Linked DNA regions of Lepisosteus oculatus. The main gene of each other region encodes a partner of the protein of the gene in region 2 in a complex. Links are inferred from orthologs where the notes say so. Each region holds a gene or a part of one and is shown on either strand. Other genes may lie near its edges.

Region 1 (7,177 bases), on a different chromosome or scaffold from region 2:
GTAAAACAATTTAAAATTTCAGAGCTAAGGTATGGGGGCGAGCAGCACTGGGGAAAAGCAAAGCCACTTAATATTGCATTCAGCGCCTTATACTTTTAATGAGGCTGGCAACCGAGATTACCAGAGGAATTAAAAAAAAAGACGCTGCACTAGTTTCACTGGTGATTTAAGAATGCTGCATTTCACAGTGAAAAATAAAAAGCAACACATGAAAATACATTTAAAAATATATGTATAACGAGGAAGAAATTTCAGATCAAAGGAAGCCACTGTACAGTACAGGCACTGACAAAGAAACAAAGCAGTGCGATCAATTCCTTTTAATGCAATTTCATGACACTTAATATGGAGTTCTTACTGTATAGATAAATTGGTTATGTCCACGGTTGTGCAGTATTTCTATTAGGCTTTATTCTGCCTAAATTAAATTTCCCGGTTGGGCTCTTTAATTGAGCCCTGTTCCCTAATGACAGAAGAGTGAGGACTTTAGAAGGAAAAAAAAAAGATTTGCTGATAGAAGAGCCTTTGATTTTTCCTGGTGTTTGTAAAAAGCATGTCATTTTAAATCCGTCCCCAAGCTGTTCATCCAGAAAAACGGCCTTAAACCAGCAACTCAGAAGAATTTGATTTCGGCAGTGGCCTCTCCTTTTTTCCACAGTTATGGTTAAACCCTCAGCAGTGCACGGTTCTGATCGGTGTGAGGGGGTGTAAGCTAATCACTAAGGTACACTGGTACCCTGGGCAACTCATCATGTGTCTTCTTCCCCAAATATTTTACCTTATTAGCTTCTAATCCTTGCACAAGATCGTTTATTTTTAGATGCTCATAATCCTCAGGGTGAACAAATTGTTAAGGCATCATGAATGCCCTGTGCTATGAAGCTCAAAGCGTACACAGTGCAGAACTTAGTCATGTGAAGTTGATCTCTGTTGCCAGAAGACACTTGGCGCTTAGTGTTTGCTGAACAAAACATAGGATGTCAATACATAAAATGCTCCAAAGTGCATTAACTGGTATAAAGCGTTGTACATTTTTTAAATTAAATTGCTTCCTCCTTTGTGCACATTTCAGAATCTTTATCAGGAGAGAGCAATTTAAGCAATCCATCATCACTCTCGCTGTTTTGAAAAGCAAACGTTTCTAGCATTGCCATCTTCTAAAAGGGCTTTTAATTATGAAGACAAAGGGGCAGTCAGAAAGTCTTTACCTCCAAAGAGCCATTAGCATCTTTTTTTTTTCAAAGGGCAAATAACTCACACTGGCCACACTAAAGCCATTTAGTCATGAAAACAGTATTCTCACGATATAGCCATTAGTTCCTCTGTGAGCTCTAGTTGAGGAATAATGTTGCTAAAAGCTGTGCTCAAGTGTTCCAGTCAGCTGATGTGTCCTTTAACCCTTTCGTTGTGGCTTCATGCCCTGCATGCTTTTTCAGTAAAGGCTGAGGGATGAGTCATTGAATTCAATATAAATAATACGAGCAATATTGGTTATAATAATGATCTGTTTACTTCACTGTAATATGAAACAAGCCCCTGTTTTGCATCAGCCTTCTTCCAGATTAGGCATCAATTGACATTTTTTTTTAAATCACAGTGTTAATTTTTTTTTTCCTTGAGATTATGAGGGCTCTGTGCAGCACCCCTTTTTGTGAAAATGAGGCGGTTTACTCAAAGCAAACACAGCCTCTTCCGGGGGCGGCGTGGGGTGCTCGCCCCACTGCTACACAGGTCGCTCAGACGCAATAAAAATCTTAGCCGGGCTGGGGAAGATGGCAGAAACGGAGCAGCGCTGCTGTACAGCAAAACAAGTATTCTGCCAGCTGTTCCAACTGTTGCAATTGCAAGGAAGCAGAAGGGAAAGGCAGTGATTTAGCGAGCTGTGTGGTTTCGCTCCTTCTTATTCACTTGACCTTGAAGTATCAGCTCAGCACACTCTTGAGTTCAGCGGATGGGAGTCCCAGGACTACTGCATTTATCATTGAAATACTGAGCTGTCAAGTCGCACTGCATACCTGTCAAGGAGGGCTCATAGGTACTGCGAGAGCTGCTGTCCTCTGGTGCAGTGCATGATTCTTCATTGCGCTAGACTGCAGGCCTGCTCCCAGCCACTTCTAGACACCTCTCGGCACAAGGCACTTCCTATGCAACACCTTCCTCCTCCTCTCCCTCCTCTGTGGCCTAAAGGCTTTAAGATCTCGATGCCATTGCTGGTTTTAAGACCTCCGTGGGATTTTATGCATTTAAGCCAGTGATTATTTTAGGATTTTTAGTTCATTGGCAATTGAGACAACCCCCTTTTTTAATTTTTTTTTTTACGACTGTGTGCGCTTTGCTCCGGTGGTTAACGGTTTTGGAAGCCGGGCCGTGCCACAGGGGACGAGCACCAGGGAAAATAAAAGGAGGGGCTGAAGAGTGAACTCATGAGTTGCGATGCACATAACCAGGCCAGTGACGTTGACGTGATTCAATATGTTTTATGACACCAGTTACAATGTTACGTCTTTTTGGTTGCAAGCATATTTTACAAATATATAAACTTTCAATTTTATATCATGGAGTAATTATAACAATCATATTCTTTCTAGAGATGAATCCAGCTAATGATCCTATCTAAAGTGCCCAGAATCAAATTGTTTAAAAAAAAACAAACGGTCTCTGGGACGAACTAGTTTTTCTACAGGAATAAATATATGGTGTATACATATATAATGCGTTTGATAACAGCTGTGATCTACCTCTAATGACGATTCCCAGTTCTTTAAAATAGTTTCCTTGTGTTTTTTTTTTGTGCTGTTACATTTCATGTCCTTTTCTTACCTTCATGAGTGTTTCCAAAAGTGAAGTGGTTTCAATCTGAGATGAAAAACATCAGATGAGAACAGTGTGCTGCTGTGGTTTGATAAGAAGGATGGAGTTCTTCATTTATCACACTGAATATGTATTTCATATAAATAACATATATGGAGAGTAATAACTTTAGTCTTCGAATGTTGTGCATGCTTTAAAATACCGGATTTTATCCATCCTACTGTTTTCCAACTGCTTTATCCAGCACAGGGTCTCAGGGAAGCCTGAATGTATCCCAGCATCCAACAGGCACAAGGCAGGACACACTCTGCACGGGGTGCCAGTCCATCGCAGGGCACACACAAACACACACACTCCGATTTCCAGCAAAAGGTGATTAACCGACCAGTATGTCTTTGGTACCCTCTTTTTGACAAGATGTGTGGTTTGCTTTTCTTTCCTCTCTGGTCAGTGGCTGTGGATGCCATGTTTAAAATAAAGGGGGTAAAAAGAGGATGTCTTAGGACTGTGGGAGGAAACCGGGGCACCTGGAGGAAACCCCCTGAACACGGGGAGAACATACAGACTCCACACAGACAGACCCCAGGGTCCAGAATGAACCCAGGGCCCCAGCGCCGTGCCGCCCAGTACTGCAGTTATTTTGTCGTTTTATATTTTTATGTGTTCCTAGGTGGATGGATTGAAATGTGATGTAGCTTAAACAAAATCAAACAATTCCACGTTTTCCTACTCATCTCACACACCCTGTGAGCAGTTAGCTGTCACCAGGCTCATGTCACCTGACACCCTGTTGACAAGGCCTCCAGCTGCAGAACGATCTGAATACGATGAGGATGTTGCTCCACTTTGCTCTGATGACTGCAGAAAAAGGCCTGCAGTTTTCTTCCCACCCCAGATCTTCGAAAACATTGCAGTGTCAAAGTAATCGGACCAGAATTTATCGAGAAGATATTTGCTCCCCCTCGTTGTTTATTTGTCAAAATATAAATATGGTCATAAAAAATGCCAATAACTATTATTCTGTTTCTATTAATAATAATGTTAATGATGAGCAGGAAGAGGAGGTTTGCGCCCTGTCTGTGGGGCTGGTACTATACTGACCAGCAACCCTGCAGGGGAAAAAAAACACTTTTTCATCAATTAAGTGTCATTCCTCACACTAGCCCCGCCCCCTCAGCGCTATGCTTCGGGGCTCGCCAAGTTCCGCCCCCGCTCCCGCCTTCCACGGGCGCTACGCTGGCCTGCCGTTCGCTCACGCCGGTGCCAATCATTCCTTCTTCGCCTCCCATTGGCCGGCTCCAACGTCAACGAGCGCCTCTGACGCTTTCCATTTGGCTCGACGGGCAGAGCCCTTCCACTTCCGCTGTCAAGGTAAACCAGTGAGAACTGCAGATGGAGTCTATAGAGGAAATAGGTTTTCATGGAGTTTATTAAACCTGCTGGCAGCAGAACTGTTACAGTGGTAAAAACAGACCGTTTCTAGCCGGGGATATGCGAAGCTGATACCGCGTCTCCCTGCTATCTCTCCCTCTCTTGGAAAAGGCATGCGTTACGGTACGTTGAAATCAATGTTATTAAGATGTAACCCCGTTTCTGTCGCGGGCAAGGCCTACAGGACCATCTCTCCGCTGTGCGCTGTCCACACGGCGACGGTAGTAAATATAGGGGCTCTGTCGGGAAACGGGGGCGGTTTTGCACCACACGTCCGTGTCGGCCCCCGGGACGAGCGAGTGTGTCTCTGTTCCTCGGGTGTGACCTGTGTCCAGGGGCTGGCGGAGACCGCTGCCGCCTGTGGGGGTGTCAGCCTGCTGTCCGAGACCGGCGACCCGGGAGAGTGCGGGACTTCACTCGGTTGCCTTGCCCTGGTCTCCTGCCGGACCCGTTCACCACCGGGGGAGGGCCTGACACGGCCGTGTGTGTTTTATTGCATGATTATCATTTGTTTCCTCTTTACCACAGCCTGTGCTCCGGCGGTCTCGGCCCCGGTGCTGAGACTCGGACTCCCATAAGTTACCAGCCGGCACCCGTCCCTCCAACGGGCGCTTCTGCTGTTTGTTTTTCTTTGGTCGACTCCCTTGTGTCCGGCGCGGTGCAGCTCCCGTGACCTGTTGACCTGGGAGGGGGGGTCCCACCTCCACTCCCCCCACAAAAAACACGGGAGAGCCCGCTCCCAGCCTGCGCTGTCGCTCCGGAGAAGTGCCGAAGTCATTCATCCATGACAACACCCTATGTCCGCAATACAAAAACAACAACAACAACAAAATAATAGCGTGCAGCTTCCTAACGCCGTGAAAGAGTGAGAAGCCCCGTTTTAGCGAGAGACTGCTGATTGATGAGTGAGCTGGTCCCGGGTGCGAGGAGGTGGACTCGGACACCTGGCTCTGCGTGCTCTCCTTACTGAGTGAGTGACCCTGTGTTACCTGCCTCCAGGGAAACACACACACACACACACACACCTTTTGTATTGCAGTAAGTCTTCTTTAGATTGGGAAAGCTCCTCCGTTTCCTTCAGAAAGACAATCCAGTGTTTGGGGACTTTGCAGTCCTTATTTCAGCTCATACCTGGCATCCGGCAGCTGAATGTAGAGGACCACTGTGGGGAACACGATTGCGTGCAATGCAAGAGGGGGTCCTGTGATGCTGTGTCCTTCCAGGAGTACAGGGGCCAGTCGCTGAAGGCCAGTGCGGAGAAGGTGTTCATCTGCGTAATTTGTCTTGCGCGCTGCTCTGGAAGTTCAGGAAGCTGGGAAGACGTGCTGGCAGTACGTCTCGCCGCTGTCGGAGTTGGAGAGCCTGGCCTGTGGCCGTGCTTGTGTTTTTGCTGCCTCGCTGGGGCTCCGGTTTCGATTCCAGGCCTGGGGTGCTGTCCGCATGTCCGTGTGGGTTTCCTCCCACAGTCCGGAGACCGGCCGGCGGGTTAACTGGTTTCTGGGGAAGCCGGGCCTGGCGCGAGGGTGTGTGTGTCTGTGTGGGCCCCTCTGCAGGGAGTCCCTCCTGCTGCCCGTTGTTTGCCAGGGTAGGCTCTGGCTCTGCCACAACCCTGTAATGGGAGAGGCAGTCAGGAGATGGATGGATAGATGTTCTCTCACGTCTTGAGCTGGGCTATAATTTTTTGCAGAGTTGCTCAGTGCCCCCATTCCCCTCTCCAAGCCTTTTACATTTGAAGTCTTGAAACTGCAGAGGGATGATGGACCCCAGCGCATTGATTCCTCAGCACAGCGCCGCCCTGCTGTTCGCACTGAGACACCGATTCACTCAGCACAGAGCCGCCCTGCTGTTCGCACTGAGACACCGATTCACTCAGCACAGCGCCGCCCTGCTGTTCACACTGAGACACCGATTCACTCAGCACAGAGCCGCCCTGCTGTTCGCACTGAGACACCGATTCACTCAGCACAGAGCCGCCCTGCTGTTCGCACTGAGACACCGATTCACTCAGCACAGAGCCGCCCTGCTGTTCGCACTGAGACACCGATTCACTCAGCACAGCGCCGCCCTGCTGTTCAGAGCTGAGACACCGATTCACTCAGCACAGAGCCGCCCTGCTGTTCACACTGAGACACCGATTCACTCAGCACAGCGCCCCCCTGCTGTTCAGAGCTGAGACACCGATTCACTCAGCACGGAGCCGCCCTGCTGTTCATAGCTGAGACACACTGATTCCTCGTCACAGTGCGGCCCTGCTGTTTACGGAGAATAAAGATATCCCACACCCGGTGTTGGCTAGCCGTAAGGCGTTTTTAATGGTCAGGCTGAAAATGAGGGTGAAAACAAACAGCAGAATTATATTCCTGTCTCCAGGTTGCACTGGAAAAGGTGAAGCCTGTTGCTCCCTACACTGCTGGTTCGTCTTGGTTAAACTTTTATGTGCTGGTCCTGTTCCAGGCTGTCATTACCGGTGTGTTAGCAGGACTCCCCAGATGGGGGCTGTCCTGGGCCTTGTTGTGGAGCAGTGCCCCTGGGGGCTGACCAGGCCTGGGGAGGTGTTGTAATTGTGTGGAACGAGCGGAGTGGCTCTTGTTTGGACCGGAGGCATACGGATTCACTGGGAAGAACTCGGAGCGCGACACTGAGAATATTGGACGCGGCTCTCGGAGAGCGTGCCGGCGGGCGTCCGCTGAGTCTGCGGTCGCAGCAGCTTCCCCTCGGCGTGCCCGGAAGCAGAGGTCCAGCGGGCGGCGTGCCCAGCTGTGCCCCAGGACACAGCCCCTGCGGTCGATCGGGGGTCTGGTACTCCCGGCGTGCGGGATAATTCTGTGTCCCGGCCGGAGGAGGGGACACGTCTCTCTGGCCCCGCCGAGCTGCCCACGCGTGTGCGGGTGACGCAGAGTCGTCTGGAGCTCCGAGGGTTCGGCTTTCGTTGGGG
Region 2 (7,245 bases):
AAAACAAGGTTAATAAATGACTTCAATACAAACAGGATGAATCATGTTTTAAAAGAAAAAAACACTTGAATCTGATTTCACTTATCACACAAGGCAGAGCCCAGTTTGGCTTGCAAAGGTTATCTGCTTGTAACCGATTTTCTAAGCCTGCTGAGTGATTTGTTTGAATGTAACTAAAAAACTTAAAGATCCACATCTGGTCAGTGGTGCCACTGCCATGGTTATTCTGTTATTGCTGGTTGTTTTGGAGAATTATTTGGATTTTTTTGAAAGTTAGATAACAAATGTTACATTTAATATTTAATCTGAAAAGGTTTAAAAGATCACCCTGTCATTCTAGATAAAAAGAACCCCAGCCCTTCAACGGGTAAACAACCAGTGGTGCAGACTGAGCCTGCCTAGCTCTCAAATCCCAGCTCAAAGCTGTACACCACAGCTCTCCTTACAGTGAACGGAACACTGGCGACTCAATTTAAGCAGTCTCAGCTTTATCCGACCTGCTCTGGAAAATAAAAAATACTCTTAAAAATGCTTTATTCTCTGAAAAATTAACCAAGCACACCTACAAGAGGTAGTTAGTGAGCCTATACAGTCATTTTACTTGTATTTACTTTTATTTAGCATTTTTATACTTATATTTAATATTCTGAATTACCATAAGAGGTTTTTTTTCCATAAAGGTTTAGGGTAAAACCTGACAGTATGCGTATTTGACTAGACGCTACTCAAAATCCTTAACCCTACAGTAAGTTAAGAGTAAACTGTAAAGGACACATCACAAAGTAACCAACTCTCCCATATAAAAAAAAAAGAAACGTGCGCAAGAAGAGTGGCCAATTCACAGAGCAGTAGACATGCAAGAAAATGTGCAACGCTGATTAAAAACCAACAGGTATAAATCACGTGCATGGGACAGCCTCATGCAAAGACCCAATTCCACCTCACAACTGCTCGACACAACCTTCTTTCTCCACAGGTACACACAATTGTTTATGAGCATGCGCACGGGCCTTAAAAACCCACTTGCTCCGATCTCCCACAACTGAAACACACCTCTCATGCCTCAGAACGAAAACTGAATGCCTCCCAGCGCAAGAAACAGCAGTAATGCCCAGAAAACAAGGACACGTATCCGATTTGCTGCCATTAAAAGAGTACGTCTGTCTGCACTTGTAGAATGCAGATGACGACATATTTCGGTGCTGTGCTTTCAGGTCAAAAGGGACAGGGAACGAAAAATTCTTGGTGCCTACCCCTAGATTTCAAACAGCTCGAATGTGCTCACTAACATGGGAGTGCACAAGACTAGAAGCAGTACCTTCAAATCTCACTCACAACACAGTCATGTCGAGTTGCTGGGCTGAACGCAAGCAGGAAGCAGACGGGTCACTGCTTTGGACAAGACGCTCGTCAGCCCTGTGAGCGTTTGGCATTCCCGCCACGGCGGCGGCGATCGCGAAGGCAGGCGCGCGCGCTCACCCTGTCCTTCATCCTCCAGCTCTGGGCCAGCGCCTTGGAGCCCTCGATCTTCTCGCAGTGCCGCTTCTTCATGAAGGCCAGCGGCAGGTTCCAGTCCGTCATGTCGGCTTCCTCCTCCTCCCCGAGGCCCACGGCGGGAGAGTGAAGCAGCTCCGAGTCCATTCTCATCAGGGCCCTGCAAAGACCAGCGGCCGCCTCAGAGCACAACCCCATCACAGCATCGAGACCGCAGCCGGTCAGCGAATCAGTAGATCCACTCTTGTCTACTAGAACAGCCACTAGTTATGGACGCAGAGGAGGCTGATAAAGACCCAGGTGAACTCCTGACCTGGAGCCTGAGAGAACCATGAAGGAAAGCTTTTCTGCCTGCCAGACAAGTGATCACTGGCAAGACCCACCTTGGGTTGCAGCTTTATTTTGCATCCCTGGTCAGTTATGATGACTCTCAAAAGTGACACAACTATCCATGAAGGTAAAGGCTCTCATTTGCACCAGTAAGTACTGTTTAGCTTGACCAGAGCTGGGCTGGAAGGAAACCCCACAGACACGGGTGTCCCTCCATGACCAGGACCGGACAGCCCTGAGAGTCTTAAAGGATGTGTGTGTGTTGTGCACGGTGGAGATCAGACAATGTCACTGGGTCAACAAATACACAACGCGGAATCGGCTGCGGTTGTGTACCGACATGCGTGGAATGTCGTGATCGGCTTCATCGCCACGCAAGTATCACTACCTGAACAGCCAGCCACCCGTTCGGGCTTCAGTTCAGTGAAGGAAGTACACATGATCACCCCCCCCTCCCCCAAACACACAAACACACGCGTACAATTAAGAATGTGTAACGATCTGATAGGGGAAGGGAGATATTCGTAGTCTTTAAAAACTACAGCAACAATACTTATTTCTACCGGTCTTACCACCTAACACTACCGCGCGCACCAAGATCCGAAATAAACACAACTAAGCAAGATTGTCATTTCCTTCTTGTAAAACAATAAAACAGACACATGAGAGAAATCTGCCAGTAAGGAAAACAAGAAGCCCTTTAAATGGGGATGATCTCGTTCGCAGATGACACGGACCTTATCTCCCCGCAATCCCTCACACGGGAAAGGGAAAATTAGGCGTCCTTCTCCCAAAACAGAGGCAGAGCCGAAAGGCAAAAATCCCGCATCAAATTCCTCTGCAAACTCAACAGGTTTGGCGAGGTGTCTCTGCTGCCGTGTCCCAGGCCCCCGCTCTCCGTCCCCAGGCAGTATTTTCGAGGGCTCCTTTCGTCCACTCCTCGCTAGGGGCTGAAAGAGAGGCCCATTCTCGCACGGACTCGCCGCCTGAGCCTCGCCAAGGTCTGACCGGCTCCAACCAGGGACGTCACAGCCGAATATGCTGCCTCGTACTGCCGTTTATATCCCCGTCGGCGCTTCCTCTCGCTGTTGATACAGCACTGAGCCTGAATTCGCGTCTGTTTCTCCAGAGAGACACTATCTCAGCACAAACACAAGGGCGCCGCCATGTTCGGCTTGACCCAGCATGCACAGCGGTCGAAAGGGGAGGGGCTGTTGCGTGGGAGTCATTGCGCGCCCCATGTCTGTCGGTCTGGCGTTTTCAGTATGTACTATAGATTAAGCATTTTCTTAATAGCACATTTCATCATACCGAAGAAGCCCAAAGCACTGTACATACAGGATGGGACCCACCTCATTCACCATTTAGGTGCAGCACTTCAGAGCCAACTGTGGAAGCACAGGGCAGACGACCGAATGCCTGTCCAGCGCTGGGCAAAATTAAAGATGCCAGTTAACACAGCCAACTTGTCTTCAGAAACTGAAGAGGGACATGGGATAAGAGCTCTGTGAACAGAGGAGAACATGCAGACTCCTCTCAGTCCAGAATTGATCCCAGTGCCTGCGTTGAATCTCTCAAAACTAAAATCGCCTGGTGGATGGGGAATGAAATCCATGTGACACAACGTGTTTCTGCACTGAGCTCATTCAGCTTGGTGCCACACACATTTCCTTCCCCTCGCGTACTTCCTGGCAGCCCTGACCAGCTGGGGAAAGAAAACGCATGAGAAAGAAACCGCTGAAACAAACCCCAAGTGCCGACAGCACAAGTGAATCCACCTGAAGCTCCAGCTTGTCCGTTTTGCAGCTGTCCCATGGTTTCGCTAAACTCGTCAAACATTCCCTCTGGTCTGTCACAGCAGCCCCATGTCCAAATCGTAGTTTAGGAGTCCTCCCCGTGCTTTGTCACTACTACTAGTAATAATAATTCCTTACATTTATATAGTGCTTTTCTCCACTCCAAGCACTCTACAGGTAATGGGGACTCCCCTCCACCAGTGTGCAGCCCCACCTGGATGATGCGACAGTGGCCATAGTGCGCCAGTACTCTCACAACACACCAGCTCTTAGTGGGGATCAGCGAAGCCAGTTCATAGATGGGCATTATTGGTAGGGAACACCCCTAACACGCAAGGGTAAAACTCTTTTTGAGAAATGCACTGGTATTCTTAATAACCCTGGAGAATCAGAACTTCAGTTTTATGTCTGGATGGTGCCTTTACTACACTATAGTATCCCCATCACTATCCTGGAACATTTGGACCCCACACTGGCTGCAGGGTGAGCACCCCCTACTGGTCCCACTAACACCTCTTCCAGCAGCAGCCTTAGCTTTCCCAGGACGTCTCCCCTCCAGGTACTGACCAGGCTCACACTTGCTGAGCTTCCATGGACTGCAAGCTATGAGCTGCAGGGTGATACAGCTGCTGGTTGTAAGTCTGCTCTGATACAGCACAGTGAAGCTGAACACAGGACTCTCTTAAGGCTCCTTTGTTTTATTTTGTTCTGCCCGCTGAGTTGCTCGGTGTGCCCCTCTCTGGCTCTTCCTGTCATGTGACCAGAGCACAGGAGGGTGAAGTGCCCTCAGGAAAGAGCCCCACAGCTCTTCCATTCCCTACCCACACCTGTGCAGAATCCCGCAGGGACAGCTGCACTGTGCCAGAGTAGGGAACAATAGTGGCACTAAGTCAGTGATCGGTATGCAGAGCACGGCCGCAGGGCCTAAAAAGTAAGTCAAGTCTCTCGTAGTCTTGTAGCTGCAGTTATTCACTGCAAATCTGTATTATGTCAAGTCCGAAATTATCCTACCCAAACTCCCCAAATCACGTCGTCTGAACGTGACGTTACAAAGAAAGTGAGAGGAAGGGCTTTTGTTTGAATAAGGGGAGATCATTCGATTTAAATGGCATGAACAGGATAACCACTGACTCACACACAGCCACAAACAGGATTCCTGCTACTACAGACACCTCAAGCAGAAAAAGATCTGTATAAAATGAATTGCTTGCACTGACATTAGTCTTGCATTAGTCTCAAAGACTAATAGGAAAAAAAAATCTCTCATTTTAATAACATCAGAACATAAGAAAGGTTACAAAGCACAGTAGACCATCTAGCCTGTTAGGTTGTTAAACAGGTAATTGATCCCAGAATTTCCCTAAATAAGCCAGGGTTTTGGCTTCAGTATCCTGGTTGGGAAGCTTGTTCCACACTTCCACAGCTCTTTGGCTAAAGGGTTCAGACTCCGGCAATCCTAGTTCAGCTATCTCCTGCCTGCAGAAACCGTAAGTTGGAAAGCAATGGATGCAAAATCTTATACTACAGAATTCATTTCTAAAAGATCTTAGGATCAACATTTGCACAGAAAGTTCCCATGAAACTTCTTCCTCGAATCTCACCAGCACACCTCGCCCACACGCACACCCACACTGTGGAGCTGTCAAAATCCTGATTGACTAATCACCCCGCAGCTCAAGCAGGGCCTTATGGCCAATCATGCAGTCGGGTGTGTGAGAAGTGTGTCAGAACCTCCATTCGCCCTTCGTCCTCCCGGACAAGGGGAGGAATGGATCCCACATTTAAAGAGCGATCCCCCTGAAAAAAGTCTGACATCTCTAATCTTAGATCCGAATAATAATATGAGTCTACCCCATGCAAGCATCAAATATATTTTGGAAAGGAATAATTTAATTGCAATTCAAGAAAGGCATGCTCCTTCTAAGGGTTTTACTGGGGCAAGATTGCATGACATTTGCTGTAGTCCAATGGGTTTACCATCATCATACCATTCTTTGCTGTTGTCTCCACAATAATTGCTCCCAAGGGAAACCATGGTGAGAAAAAGCCATACGCTGTCGTATGGACCATCCACCTCAGGAATGCTGACAGATGTTGTACGTCCATTAACAGGAGCAGGAGGGCGGATGGGCTGCTGTTTACTGTAAGAAAACACTGGGAAAAGCCAAAAGGGCAACAGAAGCACCAAGCGTGAGCAAATATTGACAGTTAGATGAGAAAAAGCCACTCAATCTTCTTCCACTCGGATGAAGGGGATTCGGGAAGCTGCATGGCTTTTAGTAACGGGACCAGACGTCAGTGGCCATTCAATGTGCTGGAGATAAGGAAGGAAGTCAAGGGAGCAGAGGCGAGGGGGACCGCAGGCCTCCAGCGCCTCTGACCTGGAGCACCACGCGCAGCTACACGGACGCCTGCATGAGCCGCACTGTGAGCAGAGCAGGGTCTCCTTCCAGAGAGTCCCTGTAATCCTGACGAGTGCTGCCAGCAGCACAACCTGTTTAGGGGGTCGTGCGTTTGGCAACAGCGAGCACAAGAGGCTGCATCAAGATTTGCGTCAGCAAAAGCATCAAGACTGAAAAAAGTGAAAGCAACAAGCCTAAAATGGGGTGTCCTTCTTGAGCTCATACAACGCATTCAAGAGCTTTTGGAGGAAGCCTTCTTCTAAAAGGCACACAAGTACTCACATTTCACTAAATGGCCTGCAACAAATCTTTTGAGGAGAGACATCATGTTCCTGCATCAGCTCACCAGACCGGAGCTGAAGTCAGTGTGTGCAGCGTTAAGTGGACTGACAGAAGTGGTCCCTCCCTCGATGGGATGCTAGTCAATGGCTAGGCTGACAGCTGTACTCATGCCAAATCTCAAGAGTACAACCACAGTACCCACAGCGCGGACACCAGCCCACAGCCTTCCAGCTAAGTGCCCACAGCCCACACTGCTAGCCGAGTCTAACAAAGACAAAACTCAGCCAGCAGAGCGCAAAGTGTGAAAGAGACGCCAAGAACACAAGACAAGCGAAAAAATAAAGAAATGGATCACATTCACCGTACAACCAGACTCTGGCCATCCATCTGGGGTCTCTAGACGAGGACTCGAGCCCTGAGCTGGGGCTAATTGTTCCAGCTCACAGTGACTGAATGAGTGGGAACAATCTGGCAGCTGCTCCAGCTATGCACCGGGCCGCAGATGAAAACTTTAAGTGGGGAGCCCGCGTCTCCTCCGAGCCTGATTGACACAGGACTAGCAATTCAGCAAAGTCAACAGACGAGGGAATGGGGGCGGTGGGGTTAGAGACCTGGGGCTTCAGTGGGAAAATTAAAACACAAAGGAAGAAAAGTTAAAAACTTCAACTCAAAAAAGCATACTGTGCTGATTGACTCCCAGCAACAGACCTAGAAGGTTACCACACATCACACAGGATATGAGAGTTTACTGCAAGTAAACTGTAATCAAGGCAGTTTAGAATGCAGGCAAGGGCACCGACATCATTCTGAGAGTGACATGACATCATTCCGAGAGTGACATCACATCATTCCGAGAGTGACATCATATCATTCCGAGAGTGCAACCAAGCAAACAGAGGGATGGTGAGGCAGAAAACAATGCTGTTTGACCACTGTGTCAA

The links. Proteins that work in one complex are often made in the same cells at the same time.
Region 1: rptor (region 2) and mapkap1 share a complex: the UniProt entries of both Homo sapiens proteins name them as parts of the mechanistic target of rapamycin complex. The link is inferred for Lepisosteus oculatus from reciprocal best matches to the Homo sapiens genes RPTOR and MAPKAP1.

The regions. Positions count from the first base shown.
Region 1 is NC_090719.1:1,111,222-1,118,398, forward strand, and holds the start of mapkap1 (target of rapamycin complex 2 subunit MAPKAP1), read left to right. Parts: upstream 1-4,163; 5' UTR 4,164-4,365; intron 4,366-4,770; 5' UTR 4,771-5,212; intron 5,213-7,177. UniProt on the Homo sapiens protein: Component of the mechanistic target of rapamycin complex 2 (mTORC2), which transduces signals from growth factors to pathways involved in proliferation, cytoskeletal organization, lipogenesis and anabolic output.
Region 2 is NC_090704.1:45,061,904-45,069,148, reverse strand, and holds the start of rptor (regulatory-associated protein of mTOR), read right to left. Parts: upstream 3,005-7,245; 5' UTR 2,562-3,004; intron 1,655-2,561; 5' UTR 1,648-1,654; coding exon 1,480-1,647; intron 1-1,479. UniProt on the Homo sapiens protein: Component of the mechanistic target of rapamycin complex 1 (mTORC1), an evolutionarily conserved central nutrient sensor that stimulates anabolic reactions and macromolecule biosynthesis to promote cellular biomass generation and growth.